2 linked regions of the Mus musculus genome follow. The protein of the gene in region 1 interacts with the protein of each later gene in a biochemical or structural test. Links are inferred from orthologs where the notes say so. Each region holds a gene or a part of one and is shown on either strand. Other genes may lie near its edges.

Region 1 (8,638 bases):
TTCAAGGTAGAATTTGTCCTCCTCATATGTTGTCCACTGATCCTTAGGCAAGATCCTATGCCTCATAGTCAGGCTCTCTTAATTCGAAACAGCCTGTCATAAAGGTCCTCAGGAAGCCTTCTTATGGCTTCTTTTACATCTTCAGTTTCATGTAGTGTAGCATCTCGCATTATCCCCAGTTTATTGAATCCTGCAGCGTTATAATACCACTTTCGAAAACCATCCAGCCACTTGCTTGATGCTGCAACAGCAGATTGACCCGCCATTTTGACCTAAGAGTCTTCTGTCTGCTTTCATACACAACCCAGGATCATCTGACTAGTGGTGGCACCTCCCACAACGGGCTGGGTCTTCCCACACCAATTATTAATCAAGAACACACCCTCTAGACTTTTTATAGACTTTGCCTAGAGAGGAATCTGATGGGCGCACTGTCTCAGCTGAGGTTCCTCTTCCCTGGTGACTCTAGCTTGCTTCAAGCTAACAAAGCAGCTAAGCAGGGCGGAAAGAAAGCTGTGCATCTTCTAAGTTTGAGAGGCTGACTGGAGCTCATTTAGTTTCTGAGACTGATAAGCCAACCTCTTCTCTCTACCAGCGGGTGTTGGAATTCTGAGGACACCTGAGGATGGCACTGACATGGACCTCTCAGCGGGAACTCAGCGGGAATGGAAGACAAACAGTCTTACCATATTGAATCTGTCACCCCTACCACATACACTGATATTACCTGTCGGCTTGCATAGAAAGGTCTCTCACTTCTCAAATGTTCTCCCCACCCCAAGGTAGCTCCGAGCTATCTCTCTGTCAATTCTGTTCTGTTTGAGGCTCTGGCATGATCAATATTTCTTTCACCTTTGAACCCTTACCCTGTAGACCCCGGCATGGGGTCTATTTTTCAAGAACCGAGTGATGGAAACTGGATCCAATAAGCATACTATACTATTCGTGCTATATTTGTGGTTTTGAGAATGGCTCTTTCTAGGTGGCCCTGACTGACCTGAATCTGTTGTGTAAAACAGGCTAGCCTTGAACTTGAAGTGATCCTCCTGCCCCAGCTTCCCGAGTGTGCACAGGCAGAAGTCTCACCACCAAGACTCACTGTTTACACAATTTTAATAATTTTTCTTTCTGTTCCTCTACCCTCTTGCAGTCTATACTTTTTTTTTTTTCTTTTATGTATGTGGGTACACTGTCGCTGTCTTCAGACACACCAGAAGAGGGCATCAGATCCCATTACAGATGGTTGTGAGCCACCATGTGGTTGCTGGGAATTGAACTCAGGACCTCTGGAAGAGCCAGTTGGTGTTCTCCAACCTCCAGTCTATACTTTTCTGAAGTCAAAGTTGGTAATATATTTTTTAACCTCTTGGAATATTAATAAGGTTGTTTTCTTTGTACCAGACTGATTGAATTATGCACCATGATTCTTACTGTTAATGTTTTCTTTTTAAACAAGCCTTGCTCCCCCGCCCCCCGCATTTTGTTGTTGTTGTTTGGTTTTTGTTTTTCTACACAGGGTTTGTGTTACCTTGTGTTACCCTGGGTGTCTTGGAACTCACAGAGATCACCTGGTCACTCTGCCTCTGCTTCCCAAGTGCTAGGATTAAAGGCGTGTGCCACCATGCCCAGCTTTAAATAAGTTTTCAAACTCTTACAATATGGGGGAAAAAAGCCGTAACATTCATTGTTAAAAATTTTATGTGAGCTGGGCAGTGTTGGCACACGCCTTTAATCCCAGCACTTGGGAGGCAGAGGCAGGTGGATTTCTGAGTTCGAGGCTAGCCTGGTCTACAGAGTTCCAGGATAGCCAGGGCTATACAGAGAAACCCTGTCTCAAAAAACCAAAAAAAAAAAAAAAAAAAAATTTTAATGTGTTCTTTCAGAGTTCCTGAGTTCAATTCCCAACATGGTGGCTTGCAACCATCTGTAATGGGATCCGATGCCCTCTTCTGGTGTGTCTGAATACAGATATTGTGTACTTACATTCATAAAGTAAACAAACCTTTTTTTAAAAAAAATTATGTGTATGAGTGTTTTGCTTGCATGTATGGCTGTGTACCACATTGTGCAGTTCCAGAAGAAGCCAGAAGAGGGCGTTGGAGATCGTCTTGAACTCTTGAACTGAAATTACAGCCGGTTGTGAGCTGTGCCAATGCTGGTCTTCAAACCAAGGTCCCCTGGAAGAGAAGCCAGTGCTCTGAACTGCCAAGACGGCTCTGCAGCCCCTTAGTGTTATTTAAATCATTCTTGTGGGATACTTTGCCACCAGGGATTCCAGCAGTGTGGAGCTCCTCCCTAAAGGGTTGCATCAACTCCCAAAATACTAACCTCTCCTTATCAGGTTTTTCTGCTCAAAAACCGGTAAACTTCTCTGACACGTTTCTTAAGCGGGTCTGCTCCCCCGCCCTTTGGTTTTTAAATCATTTGCGTTTCTAAGTCGTTCATGTATCTAATCCCTGCTCTTGGGAGACAGAGGCAGGCTTATCTTTGTGAGTCGGAGAGCCTGTAAATACGGAGTTCCAGACCAGGCAGAAGAGGCGAGGCCTGGGCACCATAACAAGTTCCAGCTCCCTATCTAGTTCTGCTTGCGTGTCGCTTGGGTTTCCAATCATTATCGTCAGAACACCTGCTCCGGGTCTTTGGCAGCAATGCGCTTGTTTTAGTGAATGGGGGGGGGGGGGGTTCTAGTTTGTAAACTCGCGTTCATAAAGCGTGCGTGCAAGTGGTAGTATGTGATGGCCAGTAACCTTAGCAAGCCGGAGTCCGAAGCCGGAGGATAGCCACGAGTTCGAAGCTAGTTTGGGCTGCACTAGTGAGACACTGCTTAAAACAAACCAGACCAAAATAAAACACAATAGCAACAACAAAACCAAAGCAAAATAAAACAAAACTGTTAAGTCCTGCAGGTAGCGGAGCGCAGCAGCAGCAGGCAGCAGCGTTCCCACGCGCGCGAGTCAAAGACACAGCGCACAGCGAACCCGTGGGTCCGCCCAAACAGCCTACTCCGATTGGCTGATAAGGCTGACACTTCAGCCAATGAGAGCGTTCCTTGTTGGTTTGTCGCGCGCAGGAGTCTGGGAGCTCCGGCCGTTGCCCTGGAGACGCCGGTCGAGTTCCGGGGAGCAAGGGCTGTGTGTGTCTGCTAAGTGTGCGCACGGCTCCCGTGAGCGCGAGGAGGTGGAACCACGCGAGAAGACCCGCTCTTCCCCTTCCTCCCGGGCGCGGTGGGCCGAAGCCAGGCTCGAGACCCGAAGGCACGGGCGCGGGTCTTCTGCCCACGCTGGCTTCTTCTCGCTTCCCGCAGCCTCGCCCGGTGGCGCCTAGGGTGGGTCACAGTGACCGCAGCTCGAAGCCATCCCTTTCGGTGCGTCCTTTCGTTCACCTTCACCGCAGCCCAGCGAGGTGAGTGTGATGTGAGTACCATTTCCAGGGGTGGAAACTGAGGCCGAGGGAAGGTTTTAAACGACTTTAAAGTTCCGGTGCGGCTTACCCCGACTGCAGCCATTCTGCTCAACACCCTCCATGGAGGAGGCAGGTAGAACGACTTCACCTGGCGCTGTCAGGTTTCTGCACTTGTGGACTTTGCCGCTTAACTCTTCAAGACGTGACTTCTTATAGGTCATCAGTGTGGCCTATTGAACCTCATCTGGGTAAAGTTCCTTCTATGTGATTGATTAATTTGCTTAGGAATAAAATTTAGAATGATCTCCTTCAGGGGTTGGCACACTCTTGTAGATAGATTTATATTTTATGTTGTAAATTTAATTTAAAAAAAAACAATACTTTTAATGGTAAGTGTTTTAGATTTGGGGTGGCTGTTCAATTGTTTCATTAATAAAGTCAAAGACAATATATGAGACAGTGTGTCACTATAATTTTATTTATAGATACTGAAAGCTGAATGGAAATAATTTTTATGTAATTGTCATGAATCAAGAGGTTGGTTGGTTGGCTGGTTGTTTTCCTCATTAGAAATGTAAAAAAGAAAAAAAAATCCTCCTTTCGGGCTGTATAATAGCAGTGGATGGTGAACCTACAGGCCATGTCTAGACCAGCATGTCACATCATAGAGGAAACAGGCATAGAGAGGGGCATTTATGTTAAGTCAGTCTCTCACACACAGTTCTACCATAACCTCAAGACTGCCAGAAGTCAGGTGTCATAGTTAGGGTTTTACTGCTGTGAACAGACACCATGACCAAGGCAAGTTTTATAAAGGACAACATTTAATTGCGGCTGGCTTACAGGTTCAGAGGTTCAGTCCATTATCATCAAGTCGAGAACATGGCAGCATCCAGGCAGGCATGGTGCAGGAGGAGCTGAGAGCTCTACATCTTCATCTGAAGGCTGCTAACAGAAGACTGACTTCCAGGAAGCTAGGACTAGGGTATAAAATCCCACTCCCACAGTGACACACCTCTAACAAGGCCACACATCCAAATAGTGCCACTCCCTGGGCCAAGCATATGCAAACCATCACACTGTGTGTAATGGTGTGTGTGCCTTTAATCCCAAGCACTGTGGAGGCCGAGACAGGTGGAACAGAGCAAGTTCCAGGATAGTCAGAGCTACACAGGGAGACCCTACCTTGAAAACTCCCTTATCCCTGACAAGAAAAATTGCCAGGCTCCTAGACCCTAGTAGGCCCCTTGGTTGCCTTTCACTAACTGGATGGCAGAGCTGAGGGCCATAAATAGCTTTTCTTTACTATGATCTTAAGCAATGGAAACTTCATAGAGTTTGGAAACAGACCTGCTATGTCAGTGCACGCTTTTAATCTCAGAACGCAGGAGGCAAAGGCATGTGTTTATCTCTCTCAGTCTGGTCTATATAGCAAGTCCAGGCCCAGTCAACTGGCACTACATAGATTCTGTGTTTAAAAGAAGAAGAAGAAAAAAAAGGGTAGGGTGGGGGTTAGAAACTTGAGATTTTTTTTTTTTTTTGGAGACAGGGTTTCTCTGTGTAACTCTGGCTGTCCTGGAACTCACTCTGTAGACCATGCTGGCCTCGAACTCAGAAATCCGCCTGCCTCTGCCTCCTGAGTGCTGGGATTAAAGGCGTGCACCACCATGCCCGGCGAAACTTGAGAATTTAAAATGTGTTATTCTTAGAAAACTGCAACAGTTAGGCTGGGAATTGATAAGTGATTATAGATTAAGCATCCTAGTCTGAAAATCTTAATTTCCCCCAAATCCAAAACTTTTGAGTGCAGAGATGACTGTGGAAATTCTGTACCATGATACTTTGTTCCATGTACAAATTATTAAACATTTTATGTAAAATTATCTTCCGGCTATGTGCATAAAGTATATGATGAAGTAAGTTTTGTGAAACTAGGATGTCCTTGAATTTGAACCATCCTTCAGGTTCCTCATTCTCCTGAATGCTGGGATGACAGGCCTCCAATCCCAGCTTTAAAAAAAAGTGTTTGATTAACTGATAGATTAATCTTGTGTATGAGATGACGGTGGGGCCTGAGTGCCGCAGCACCATTGGAGCTCAGAGGACAGCTTTGTCCATGTGGTTTCCGGGGATCCAATTCCTGTTCCTTTATCATCCTAGCCATCTCGCAGCAGTCAAGGCGTTTGCTGTAAGCATCACTTCTTAAAGGTCACACTGTCTGCCAGCATTGACCCACCGAGGCCCAGGAATCTTTTGGGGAACATGCTGAAGTTGACCCTCAAGCGCAGCACATGCACACTGGAGTGTAACTCTGGACCTGACCTCTCTGTGGCAACATGTGCTGCTTCCTCTCATTTCATCCCTTAAGGCTTTATGTAGCATGTGTTATAGTTTGTGTTTATAACATTGGATAAAGCTTATTCTCTTCTTAGCAGGTTTTTTTTTTTCACTTTGTACTTAGGTAGTCTTACATTTTTATTTTTCTAGATGGTCCTTGATGTCATCTTGTCTGTTATCTCGGTTTTGGGGGGCACTGCATGAGGTTTATGTGGTAACTTCGGGAGAACTGACACCTTGTATCCTACCTGAGGAGAAGAGATGCGTTACACAGGAGTCACACTCTGAGTTGTGTTCTACAATTTTCCCTGTGTACATTGCAGATCTCTTACTAAGGACTTTATCTTGTTGGTCCTGCCAATAGGATTTTCTGCACTATCATATTGTCTATTTATGGTTTGTATGAATCAATTTTTACATTAAATTATCATTATTATCTTTAAATTATTTTAATTTTAAAATTACGTATGTGTGTGGGTATGTGCACATGATGTGGTTGCTCAGGGAGGCCCGAGATGTGCATCAGCTCCTCAGGAGCTGGAGGTAAAGATGGCTGGAGCTACTTGATGTTGGTGCTGGGAACCAAACTATGTTCTCTTCTGGAGCAATCCATGCTCTTTGTTGCTGAGCCAGGTTCCAGCTCTGTACTCATCAGCTAATGGTGTGCTGTGTGTATACTAATGGTGTGCTGTGTGTGTACTAATGGTGTGCTGTGTGTGTACTAATGGTGTGCTGTGTGTGTACTAATGGTGTGCTGTGTGTGTACTAATGGTGTGCTGTGTGTGTACTAATGGTGTGCTGTGTGTGTACTAATGGTGTGCTGTGTGTGTATTAATGGCCTGTGTATGTACTAATGGTGTGCTGCATATGTACTAGTGGTGTGCTGTGTATGTACTAATGGTGTGCTGTGTATGTGTGGAGTGTTTTTTCCATTAATACTGTTTTGGCTTTAGGACCAAGGTATTTATTTCTATTTTTTCATGACAAGATGTTATTCTTCTTTTCCCATTTTTTTTTCAATTTTTTTCTTTTTGGTTGTGTTCATAGCTATTGAATTTGGTCATTTTTCTTTAAAGAAGTAAATTTATTTTAAAACACCTTAATATGTATCTGCTTGTCTGTATGTGCACCATGAGCATACAGTACCTGTAGAGGCCAGAAGAGGGCTTGGATCCCTTAGAACTGGCATACAGGAGGTTGTGAGCCATCTGATATGTGAGCTAAACCTTGGTCCTCGGCCAGGGCAGCCAACACAGCCCGCACTTGTAAATGCTAAGCTGTCTGTTTATGGAAATAACTGTATGATTTAATTTTTATATTTTGTTATGTTTCTTTTATTTTCGATTGACTCACTTTTACCTAGAAGTTTTGTTGTTGTTGTTTTGGTTTTTTTTTTTTGGTTTTTCAAGACAGGGTTTCTCTGTAGTTCTGGCTGTCCTGGAACTCACTCCGTAGACCAGGCTGGCCTTGAACTCAGAAATCCACCTGCTTTTGCCTCCCAAGTGCTGGGATTAAAGGTGTGTGCCACCACACCTGACTTACCTAGAAGGTTTTTGTTAGACAGGGTCTCTATATAGCTCAGGCTATACTTGAACTTAAGAGTCCTCCTGCTTGCTGGCCACTATACCTGCTAGAGTTGGATTTTAAATACATGGCTCTTCCTTCTTGTTGCTGATGGTAGTGAATAATAGACCATGTACACACACATATGTGTTTATATATGCATATGTGTGTGTGTATGGTTTGCATGTGTATACACGTTTGTGTATATATTTCTGTGTATGTTTGTGTTTAGGTCATTGATGAATGTTAGAAGTCATGCTCCACCTTTTAAGACTGATCTCTCACTGAAGGTTGACTTATTAGTAGCTGCACTGGCTGGCCTGAGAGCTCCAGGGTCGTCTTGTCTCTGCTCCTAGTTCTAGGCTTACAGATACATGCTGAGGATCTGAATGCAGGTCCCAGCCCTTAGGCTTTGATCAGGACTCTCTTGGTTGTAATAATGTTTATGGAAAGGTGTGTGTGTGTGTGTGCGCGCATATCTGTATGTATGTATGTATACGTGCCATAGAAAAGATGTGGAGCTTAGAACACAACCTTGGATGTTGGTCCTTGCCCTTCACCCACCTTTTTAAAAATTAAAACAATTATTGTGGCTAGAAAGATGCTTCAGTGGTTAAGAACATTGGCTACTCTTCCAAAAGTCCCAGATTAGATCCCCAGCACTCGAACGTTTCAGCTTACAACTGTCTGTAACTCCAGTCTCAGGGGGTCTGACCCCTTCTTCTAGCCTCTGTAGACCAGAAGCACACATGTAGCACACATACACACATACAGGCAAAACATCCATACACATAATATAAATATGAATGTAAAATATTATTGTGTGTGCATGATGCGTGCTTGTGGAGGTAAGGGTGTACTTTTGGGAATTCCATTTCTGTGGGTTCCAGGGATTTAACTTGGGCTGTAAGGCATGACAATGACAAGTAACTTCACCTGCTTAGCCATTTCTTCATTCCAATTTATTTTATTTGATTTTTCTAAACTTTAATTTTTGTGTGTGTGTTTGTGTGCGTGTGCTTGTGTATGTGTGTGTGGTGTGGTAGTTTGAATAAGTATGGCCCCCATAGACTTCTGTTTGAATGCTTGGCTCATAGGGAGTGTCACTCTTAGGTGTGGCCTTGTTGGAGGAAGTGTGTCACTGTGGGGCAAGCTTTGGGGTCTTGTGTGCTTAAGTTGTGTCCACTAATACAGTCCCTTCTGCTGCATGTGGATCAAAATGAATTTTTTTTCTTTTTTAAGATTTATTTATTTTTTTATATTTAAGTACACTGTAGCTGTTTCAGACATCCCAGAAGAGGGCGCCAGATCTTGTTACAGATGGCTGTGAGCCACC
Region 2 (8,178 bases), on another chromosome or scaffold:
CCTCTGTGCTTTCTTGTATTGTCCTTTCCTGTCTCCATTCAGTTTCTCTCATCTAAGTAGAACCTCGGGTTTGCATGGGCAGAGTCCCCACCCCCAAGCACACTCTCTAGGGAGCCGGCAGGACCTGGCTTCTCCCTAGACAGCTGTGTAGCATGCCTGCCCCAGGGAACGCTGTAGGGAGGGGAGGATGGCTCTGGGTGGGGATTGGGGGGGGAGGGGGACTAGAACATCTGGGAACCACGGGAGAGAAGGTTGGAGAAGAGTAGGGGATTTGGGGGAGGAGCTTGGAGGATGCCCGAGGGCCATCGCCGGCTGGCTGACTGAGTGTGCGGTTGCAGACCCTGAGGAAGAAGGGTTTCAACGGCTGTGACAGCCCAGAGCCGGATGGGGAGGACTCACTGGAGCAGAGCCCCCTGCTGGAGGACAAGTACCGGCGGGCCAGTGAGGAGCTGGATGGGCTCTTCAGGCGCTATGGGGTGAGCCCTCCTCACCTTTTCTCTGGCCCCCTTCCGGCCCCTCCCCCAGGCGCTGCACAAGAAGCACAGGGAGTGTGAGAGCCCCGAGGTGGACGAGGCGTTTGCCCTGACCCCCCAGACGGAAGAGAAGTATAAAAAGATAGACGAGGAGTTTGATAAGATGATGCAGAGTTATAGACTGGCCGTGAGTAGTCGCATGGAGGAGAGCCTCCTGTGCTGCATGGTGTGGCTTCACTCAGCCTTGCCCGGCCCTCGGCTGCCTCTGATGGATGTACTATGCTGAGCCATCCTTGAGCTGGTACTGACCACTGAGGAACTCCTGACCTTGGTCTTGATAACCCTCTTGTAAAGTTCTTCTTGCATAAACTAGAGAGACCTGCAGTATCCTCTCCCCAGCAGAAAGTGCAGTCTCAGGAGGGAAAGGGAGTGGAGCGAGTTCTTTGTCCCACTGTTTTGGGGGATCCCCCTTGGGGTGCTTTGGCACCCCTGCCTCAGTCATTCAGCTTTATGTAAAGGAAGCGGAACTACTAAAGGGATGGTAGAAAGGTGGGCTTGAGCTGCTCTTAACGCAGGCCAGAAGGTGGTGGCCACTTAGCGAAGCCATATCCTCAGTACTATGCGAGTTCGGGTCTGTACCCAGGGCACTAACTTGCTCCCAGTGTGTCCTGCCTGGCTGAGGACTAACCCACCTCCACTGGGGGTATCCAGTCCCACCTGCAGTGGGCAGAGCCTGCCTCTCTTGCCTTGGGTCAGAGCTGTATTGCAAAGTGCTCTTACCTTTCTGATGGGAGGTAGGCAGGACTACCAAAGGGCTGAAGGCAGGGAGCCCAAGCTTCTGGCCTTTGGAGATATAGTTCAGGAACCAAAGAACTCTGTGTCTACCCTCAGGCAAAACGGGTATGGGGGAGACACTGACCTGGTGTGACATTACCCTCCATCTTCCTGTCTAGTCATCTGTTCCGGCCCCCAACTTTGCCATGCCTGTCACAGTGCCCGTGTCCAATCAGAGCTCCATGCAGTTCAGCAATCCAAGTAGCTCTCTGGTCACTCCTTCCCTGGTGACATCATCCCTTACGGACCCACGGCTCCTGTCCCCCCAGCAGCCAGCACTACAGAGAAACAGTGTTTCTCCAGGCTTGCCCCAGCGGCCTGCTAGTGCAGGTAAGTGGGCTGGAGGGTGAGTCCCTGAGGTCAGAGTGAGCTGTGGAGGGGCTCTGGGCTTCTGTTTTCAGTGGAGGGTCTTCCCTTTGCAGCGTTTCTGTATGTGTATGACTCTTGAGGGGAAAAGGCCTAGGACTCCTCAGAGACCCCTCTTCTTGTCCTGTCCCAAGACAAAGCTCATGGTAGCTCTGCTTTTCTCCCAGGAGCCATGCTGGGTGGAGACCTCAACAGTGCTAATGGAGCCTGCCCCAGCCCCGTTGGTGAGTGTAGCTGCCTCCACAGGGTGGCTCAGACCAGGGGAGGGAAATAACAGGGCCTGAGCAGGATGCATCAGAAGATGTTAGCCTCCCACCCCATCTTGTTTGTTTGTTTTTTTTTTTTTTTTTCTTTTTTCTTGAGACAGGTCTTACTATGTAGCCTTGCTAGCCTGGAACTTGCTATATAGACTAAGATGCCCTCAAACTCATAGAATCCACCTGCCTCTACTGTCTGAGTGCTGGGATCAAAGGCATGCACCATCATACTTGGCCAGGGTCTAGCATTTTCAGATTAAAATGGGGCATCTTGTTGGGATCAGGACTTGTCTCAACAAATGGTAGGCACCCAAACACCACCGTGCACACAGGCCTCCGTGTTCCTATGGAGTCACCATACAGATGTGTACCTATAGGCATTCACACTAGAGCTATAGGAAGTAACCACCATTGCCCCTGGGCCCCAACACAGCTAGCCACTCTTGATCTGTGCTGTTGGCTAGTGACCTCCTTCTAATGTCACCATTGACGTCACCCTGTCATTCTTGCCATTCCCAGAGTGATCTTGGAGTTGGGATAGAAACAGCAACACACTTTGAGGGTAACCATGTGCTTGTAGCAGACAGAGAAAGGTGAAATTTCTCACTGTGGGGACAACTTACATTCCTGAACCTCAGGCTCTTCCAGCTCAGTCTCAGCCAAGTGCTACCTGTTTCCTGTCTGGTCATTATGGGTCCTGTGTGAGGTGGGTGGGCGTGAGGGTACTGTAGAAGTGGTTGTGCACTAGGGCCATGAGACTGTAGACTGAAGGCATACACCTTCTCTCCAGGCCTTGCTCACAGGCCCTGGAGCTCAGCGTTGGGACCTCAGTAAGATGGCCCTGGATGGTTGTGGAGAAGTCACCACAGCTCTCTCAGCTAGTGTCATGCTTCCTCTAATGTCATGTTCCCAGAACTGACAAAAAGTCCATCCCATGCACTTCACAGGGTTGATGTGAGCATGGGTGAAATACTGTGTTTAGAAGACCTGGACATGGCAGAGTGCAGAGCCAATGTAGAAGTTGTGATGCCTTTTTCCCAGGTCTAGTTATGGGAGTGACCATATCGCCAGCCCCCAGTGCCAGCAACACCTTTACCAACAGTCAGTGGCCTGTTTCCCCATGGTGGCAAGCAGCTTGCCTTGTGCTGATGGAAAACACAGAGTTCCAGTTCCTGGCAAGGAAACAGTCTAAATGGTTGCCTGGCTCTGGTGGTCACAGCCTGCCACCCTTCCCACTCGAGTCATGCATCCTGTGTGAAGCCTATGGAGGGGTCTGAGTGCCAGGCTTGGGGAAAGCATGGCTGCAGGGCTCTCTTTAAGTGCCTGGGGCTGGCAGTGGCAATGGTTGCGTGTCAGTTCTACCTCTGGTTCTATCACTGTGGCTTGGAGGCTGACTTATGTCAAGTGATTGGGAGCCAAGGCTTTAGGCAGTGACAGGCAGGCAGCATCCATGTCGAATGCTGGCATGCCTCCGAGAGCCTCCAGGTGACAGATATGCTTGTCTGGGGCAGTTGGCAGGTACAGAGGCAGGCCACCATTTTTCGTTTCTCATCTCACTTTTCCAGGGAATGGCTATGTCAGTGCCCGAGCTTCCCCTGGCCTCCTCCCTGTGGCCAATGGCAACAGCCTAAACAAAGTCATCCCTGCCAAGTCTCCGCCCCCACCCACCCACAACACCCAGCTTGGAGCCCCCAGCCGCAAGCCTGATCTGCGGGTCATCACTTCCCAGGGAGGCAAAGGGTTAATGCATCATTTGGTGAGTGTGTTTCCGGGCTTTGGCAGGGTCTGGGAGGTGGGAATAAAAGCAAGAAAATGAAGGTTAGTAGCAGGTAGGACTTCTTGAGGGCCTTTGGACCATAGCAGTGCTGACCAGAGGGCAGTAAAAATGAACAGGAGATAGGAGAAAAGGGTGTATGATGAAGATGGTAAAAGGAATTCACACTGCACCATGAGAATAAGGACTGGCAGACGATATCTGGCTGATGGAGGCCAGGATACAGCAGTTTATGGCTATCAGATAGACAGACTATCTAGATATCCTTTTGGGCCACAAAGAGCACTCTGCTCTTAGGCAAATAGGGGGACTGGGGTGGCCATATGGGAAGGGCAGGAGCCATAGCCTGAACCTTCCTTTTGGTTTTATTTCTGCTCCCAGACTGAGGACCATTTAGATCTGGTAAGTGCAGCTAAGATGTTAACAGTGTCTTTGAGTTCCAGCTTTGCCCAGTGTTATTCAGTCTGTAGCATGAGTTTATGTACCTGTCTTCTCCCTGTGTGTTTAATGTGGTTGTCAGGAGCTGTGCATAGAGCTGAGTGGGATACTAAGGTAAATGGGGTAGCGGGAAGGGCTGGACATGGCATGCATGTGTCATCTGTGTGTGCATGGATATTTATATGTTACCACACTTATTCATATATGTGTATGTGTGTGCATGTAGAAAAGAGCATGAGGCTATTCACGGCCCTTTGAGGCCCCAGCAGATACCTGAATTAAGCCCTTAGTTTCCATTGGCCTCCTGACTCCACATAGGCCCACACAACATTGGAATCCAAGACACAAGCCTAATCCTTACAAGAAAATCTAGGAAAGTCCAAGGCCAGAGGCTGTCATTAATGGAGTTGTCCTTAGCAAGGACTTCTCTGCCTGCCTGTTCACTCCCGTCCTCCTCCGAGCCCATCTCACAGGCACTTAGAGACGTGCACAGCCCCTCCTGTGCTTACACTCATCATCAGCCAGGAAAGAGGAGGGTGCTTCCTCCCCAGCTTGCTGACAGGAGGCCAGAAAGGCTGGAAAAGGCAAGCAGGCTTTGGCGGCCAACACACCGGCAGCCTCGGCCCCAGCATGGAGCTGGAATAAACAAGTGACTCAGCAGCAGATGGAGCTGACAGCCCTACACACGTGTGTGCATACATGCAATCACATGCCACCCCAGATCCCACGTTCCATTCCCAGATGCCAGTATACATCTCCTGGGACATCTGCTACTGTAATGGGTACAGAGGAGACTCTAGTGGTCTTAGCCCAAGAGAGACCACATCTCTTCCTTCTATCATTCCACCCAGGTACCAGGGCAGGGTTCACATTGAGCTCCAGGCTGCTCCCATGCCTTCCTGTCTGTTGGGTGCAGATGCAAGTGAATCTGTGTGTGCATGTTTTTCTCTGTGAGTCTTGAGGCCTTCAAACACAACAACTGTGTTAGTGAGTCTGTGGGCCTCCATGCTATGGTACCTTCCCTTGGAATTCAGGGACCTAGTTCAGATGCAGTATAGGTTGACCACCTCGAGACAGCCCTCCCATTTGCCATCTCTTGACAGACAGTTTTCTCCTACAGAACAATGCCCAGCGCCTTGGGGTCTCCCAGTCTACCCACTCGCTCACCACCCCAGTGGTTTCCGTGGCAACACCAAGTTTACTCAGCCAGGGCCTCCCCTTCTCCTCCATGCCCACTGCCTACAACACAGGTGAGTGTTGATGTAACTTGGTACTTTGTGCTCTTGTGCATAGGGCAGGGAAGTGACCAGAGATGGTCACTGGATGCTCCTTCCAATCTGAGGAAAGTCCTTCACTAATTAGTGTGGTAATTAGTAGATCAAACATAAAAACAGAATCCTGGGCTGGGGGTGGAGCTCGGTTGGTAAAGAAAGGGTTTACCTTGCAGGCATGAAGCCTTACGTTCAGTTGCTAGCACTATTTATAAGCCAGATGTGGTAGCACTTGTCTGTAATCTGAGCACCAAGGAGGTGGAGACCAGAGAACCAGAAGTTCATGGTCACCCTCAACTACACAGGGAATTAAAGTCCAGCTCAGTTACATGAGACTTTGTCTCAAAAAACAAAACAGGGGCTAAAGAGAGTGCTCAGCAGTTAGGGAAACTTGCTGCTCTTCCAGAGAGTTCACTTTCAGTTCCCAGCACCCACACAGTTACTCACAACTACTTGTAATTGATCCAAAACCCTCTTCTAGCCTCTTCCAGGCACCTGACCACATATGGCATACATACAAACATATACACATAAAAAAATTAAATCATTTTTTAAAAGTTTATAAACAGAAATAAAATTCTTGATTTGAACTTAAGACAAAACAATTTCTTTTTCAGTCTTAAATGTATCCCAAAGGCACTATTTGTGCTAAAGTGCATCCCAAAGACATACTTTTTAAAAATGCATTGTTAAGGTAAAATTCACTTTTAACCAGTGATCTTTTATTTTTAGCATAGGTTCTTGTGGAAGAGTAACTGCTGTCCAGTGTGAGGGGACGGACAGACCAGAGGTGGCTGAGCACATGACTCAGCCACACCAGGCTGATAGAGTTATGGTTTGGGGGCTGGGGAAGGGACATGGTCAATGCAGCAGAGCTTCCTAGAGGATGCAGAGTGGATTGGCTAGTTGCCTGAGCAGAGATGGCTCGGTACAGCAGTGAGTGGGAGGCAGGATAAGCCTGGGAAGGCTGGATAGGTCTAAAGGTGAGCAGTTACCTAAGGACATGGCAGAGGCCTCTGGGAAGAACTGTGGGACATAATGCAAGCTGGCATGGCTCTGTCAGCCTCTCACACCTTCCCCAGAACAGTGTGATGCCCGCAGCCATCCTTTGCTGCATTCAGGCTGCTGTGTCTGCCCAGGAAGGACTTGCTAGTGGGGAAATGTGTTGTCACCTGGTCTTGGAGCTTTTGTGTGGCAGTAAGCTCTTTCTTTCCCACTTCATTCACTGATCCTCACGCTTGAGTGACCAGTATTCAGGCCATTCTGTGGTGACAGTAAACTCCTCCACCTCTGCCAGTCCTTTGGGAGCTGAAGCATGTTAGGGTACAGATCCCACCACAGTTCCCACAGACCCCACCTTTGCCCTTTCCCAGCAGCAGGAGAGATGCTGAGGAGCAGGCAGCAGCCTACTTCACGCTTCAGCAGGGGCCAGGCTGTAGAGGACTCTGGGCAGATGTCTCTGACCCTAGTTCCTTGGCTGCCTCACAACATACCCACTCCCACGTTATTGAATCTTGAGGCTGAGGAGGGGCTGGCTGCTTCAGAAGTGGCAGCCTGAAGGCCTGGTTCAGGGCACATAGGTGGGTAAGAGGGTGATAAGCTCCCTCAGCCTGTCAACCATTCCCAAGACAAGGAGAAAAACCAACTTTCTGAGTCTAATGGGGAAGTGGGCATTGTTCGTTTAGGAATCCTACCATGGCAGCTGCCTGTGCTTTTGCCATTCAGTCTTGTGAAGTAGGAGGGAAGTTAGTTCATCTCGGCTCTCTTCGTGGCCTGCTTGTGTCTCTAGGGTGTGAAAGCAGCTTTGGCCCGAAAGCTCCAGTTGCTGTTGCTACAGGAGTAGTTGAGCAGACTTCTGTCAGCAGCAGACATTTTCGGGTACCACATCTGATGTGAGCCAAATTCCAGTAGGTGCTAGGCGATCTACTATGGTAGTATCCTGCATGAGAGGAGAAGGGCCTGGCCTTTGTGGACACTACCTTAGAGGTCTGTCTGTGATGACTACAAGAGCAGCTTAAGGAGGTAGCCGGGTGGCCTGGAGACCGACTTCTTGACCCGTAGGAAATAACCCTCCCAGTGGATAGAGCTCCAGTGCTGGGATGGGGCAGGACTAAGAGCTGGGTTCTGATTTCTCCCCTGAGGTCCTTAGGTAAAGCACTGACCTATTCTGGGCCTGATTTTCTTGTTTGTAAAATAAGCACAGAATACAGTTAGTCCCAGAGGCCACATTTTGCATTTATACTAGTTTTTAAAATGAGTAACCAGGGGGTTGGAGAGTTGGCTCAGTGGTTAAGAGCACTTCTAGGGGACCCAGGTTCACTCCCAAGCACTCACTGGTGGCTCACAACTGTTTGTAACTTTAGTTTCAGCGGGTTTGACACCCTTACACAGATGTGCATGCCAGCAAAGCACCAATGCACATAAAATAAACTATGTGTAAAAAATCTAGCGGGAGCCGGGCGGTGGTGGCGCACGCCTTTAACCCCAGCATTTGGGAGGCAGAGGCAGGTGGATTTCTGAGTTCGAGGCCAGCCTGGTCTACAGAGTGAGTTCCAGGACAGTCAGGGCTACACAGAGCAACCCTGTCTCGAAATACCAAAAAAAAAAAAAAAAAAAAAGAAAGAAAGAAAGAAAGAAATCAATCAATCAATCTAGGGGGAATAAATAAATAGAACTAGTAAACTAGAGTGAAGTTTAAAGGTGGTGGGGAAAGCTGGGCATGGTGGTGCATACCTTTAATTTCAGCACTCAAGAAGCAGAGGCAG

Evidence for each region.
Region 2: the proteins of Cabin1 (region 1) and Mef2d form a complex in vitro, tested with the Homo sapiens proteins (2 studies listed by BioGRID). The link is inferred for Mus musculus from reciprocal best matches to the Homo sapiens genes CABIN1 and MEF2D.

What each region holds. Positions count from the first base shown.
Region 1 is NC_000076.6:75,758,789-75,767,426, reverse strand, and holds the start of Cabin1 (calcineurin-binding protein cabin-1), read left to right. Parts: upstream 1-3,069; 5' UTR 3,070-3,402; exon of another isoform or gene 3,403-3,413; intron 3,414-8,638. UniProt on the Homo sapiens protein: May be required for replication-independent chromatin assembly. May serve as a negative regulator of T-cell receptor (TCR) signaling via inhibition of calcineurin. Inhibition of activated calcineurin is dependent on both PKC and calcium signals.
Region 2 is NC_000069.6:88,157,696-88,165,873, forward strand, and holds part of Mef2d (myocyte-specific enhancer factor 2D), read left to right. Parts: intron 1-338; coding exon 339-476; intron 477-525; coding exon of another isoform or gene 526-660; intron 661-1,426; coding exon 1,427-1,637; intron 1,638-1,840; coding exon 1,841-1,897; intron 1,898-3,495; coding exon 3,496-3,686; intron 3,687-4,085; coding exon 4,086-4,106; intron 4,107-5,262; coding exon 5,263-5,392; intron 5,393-8,178. UniProt on the Homo sapiens protein: Transcriptional activator which binds specifically to the MEF2 element, 5'-YTA[AT](4)TAR-3', found in numerous muscle-specific, growth factor- and stress-induced genes.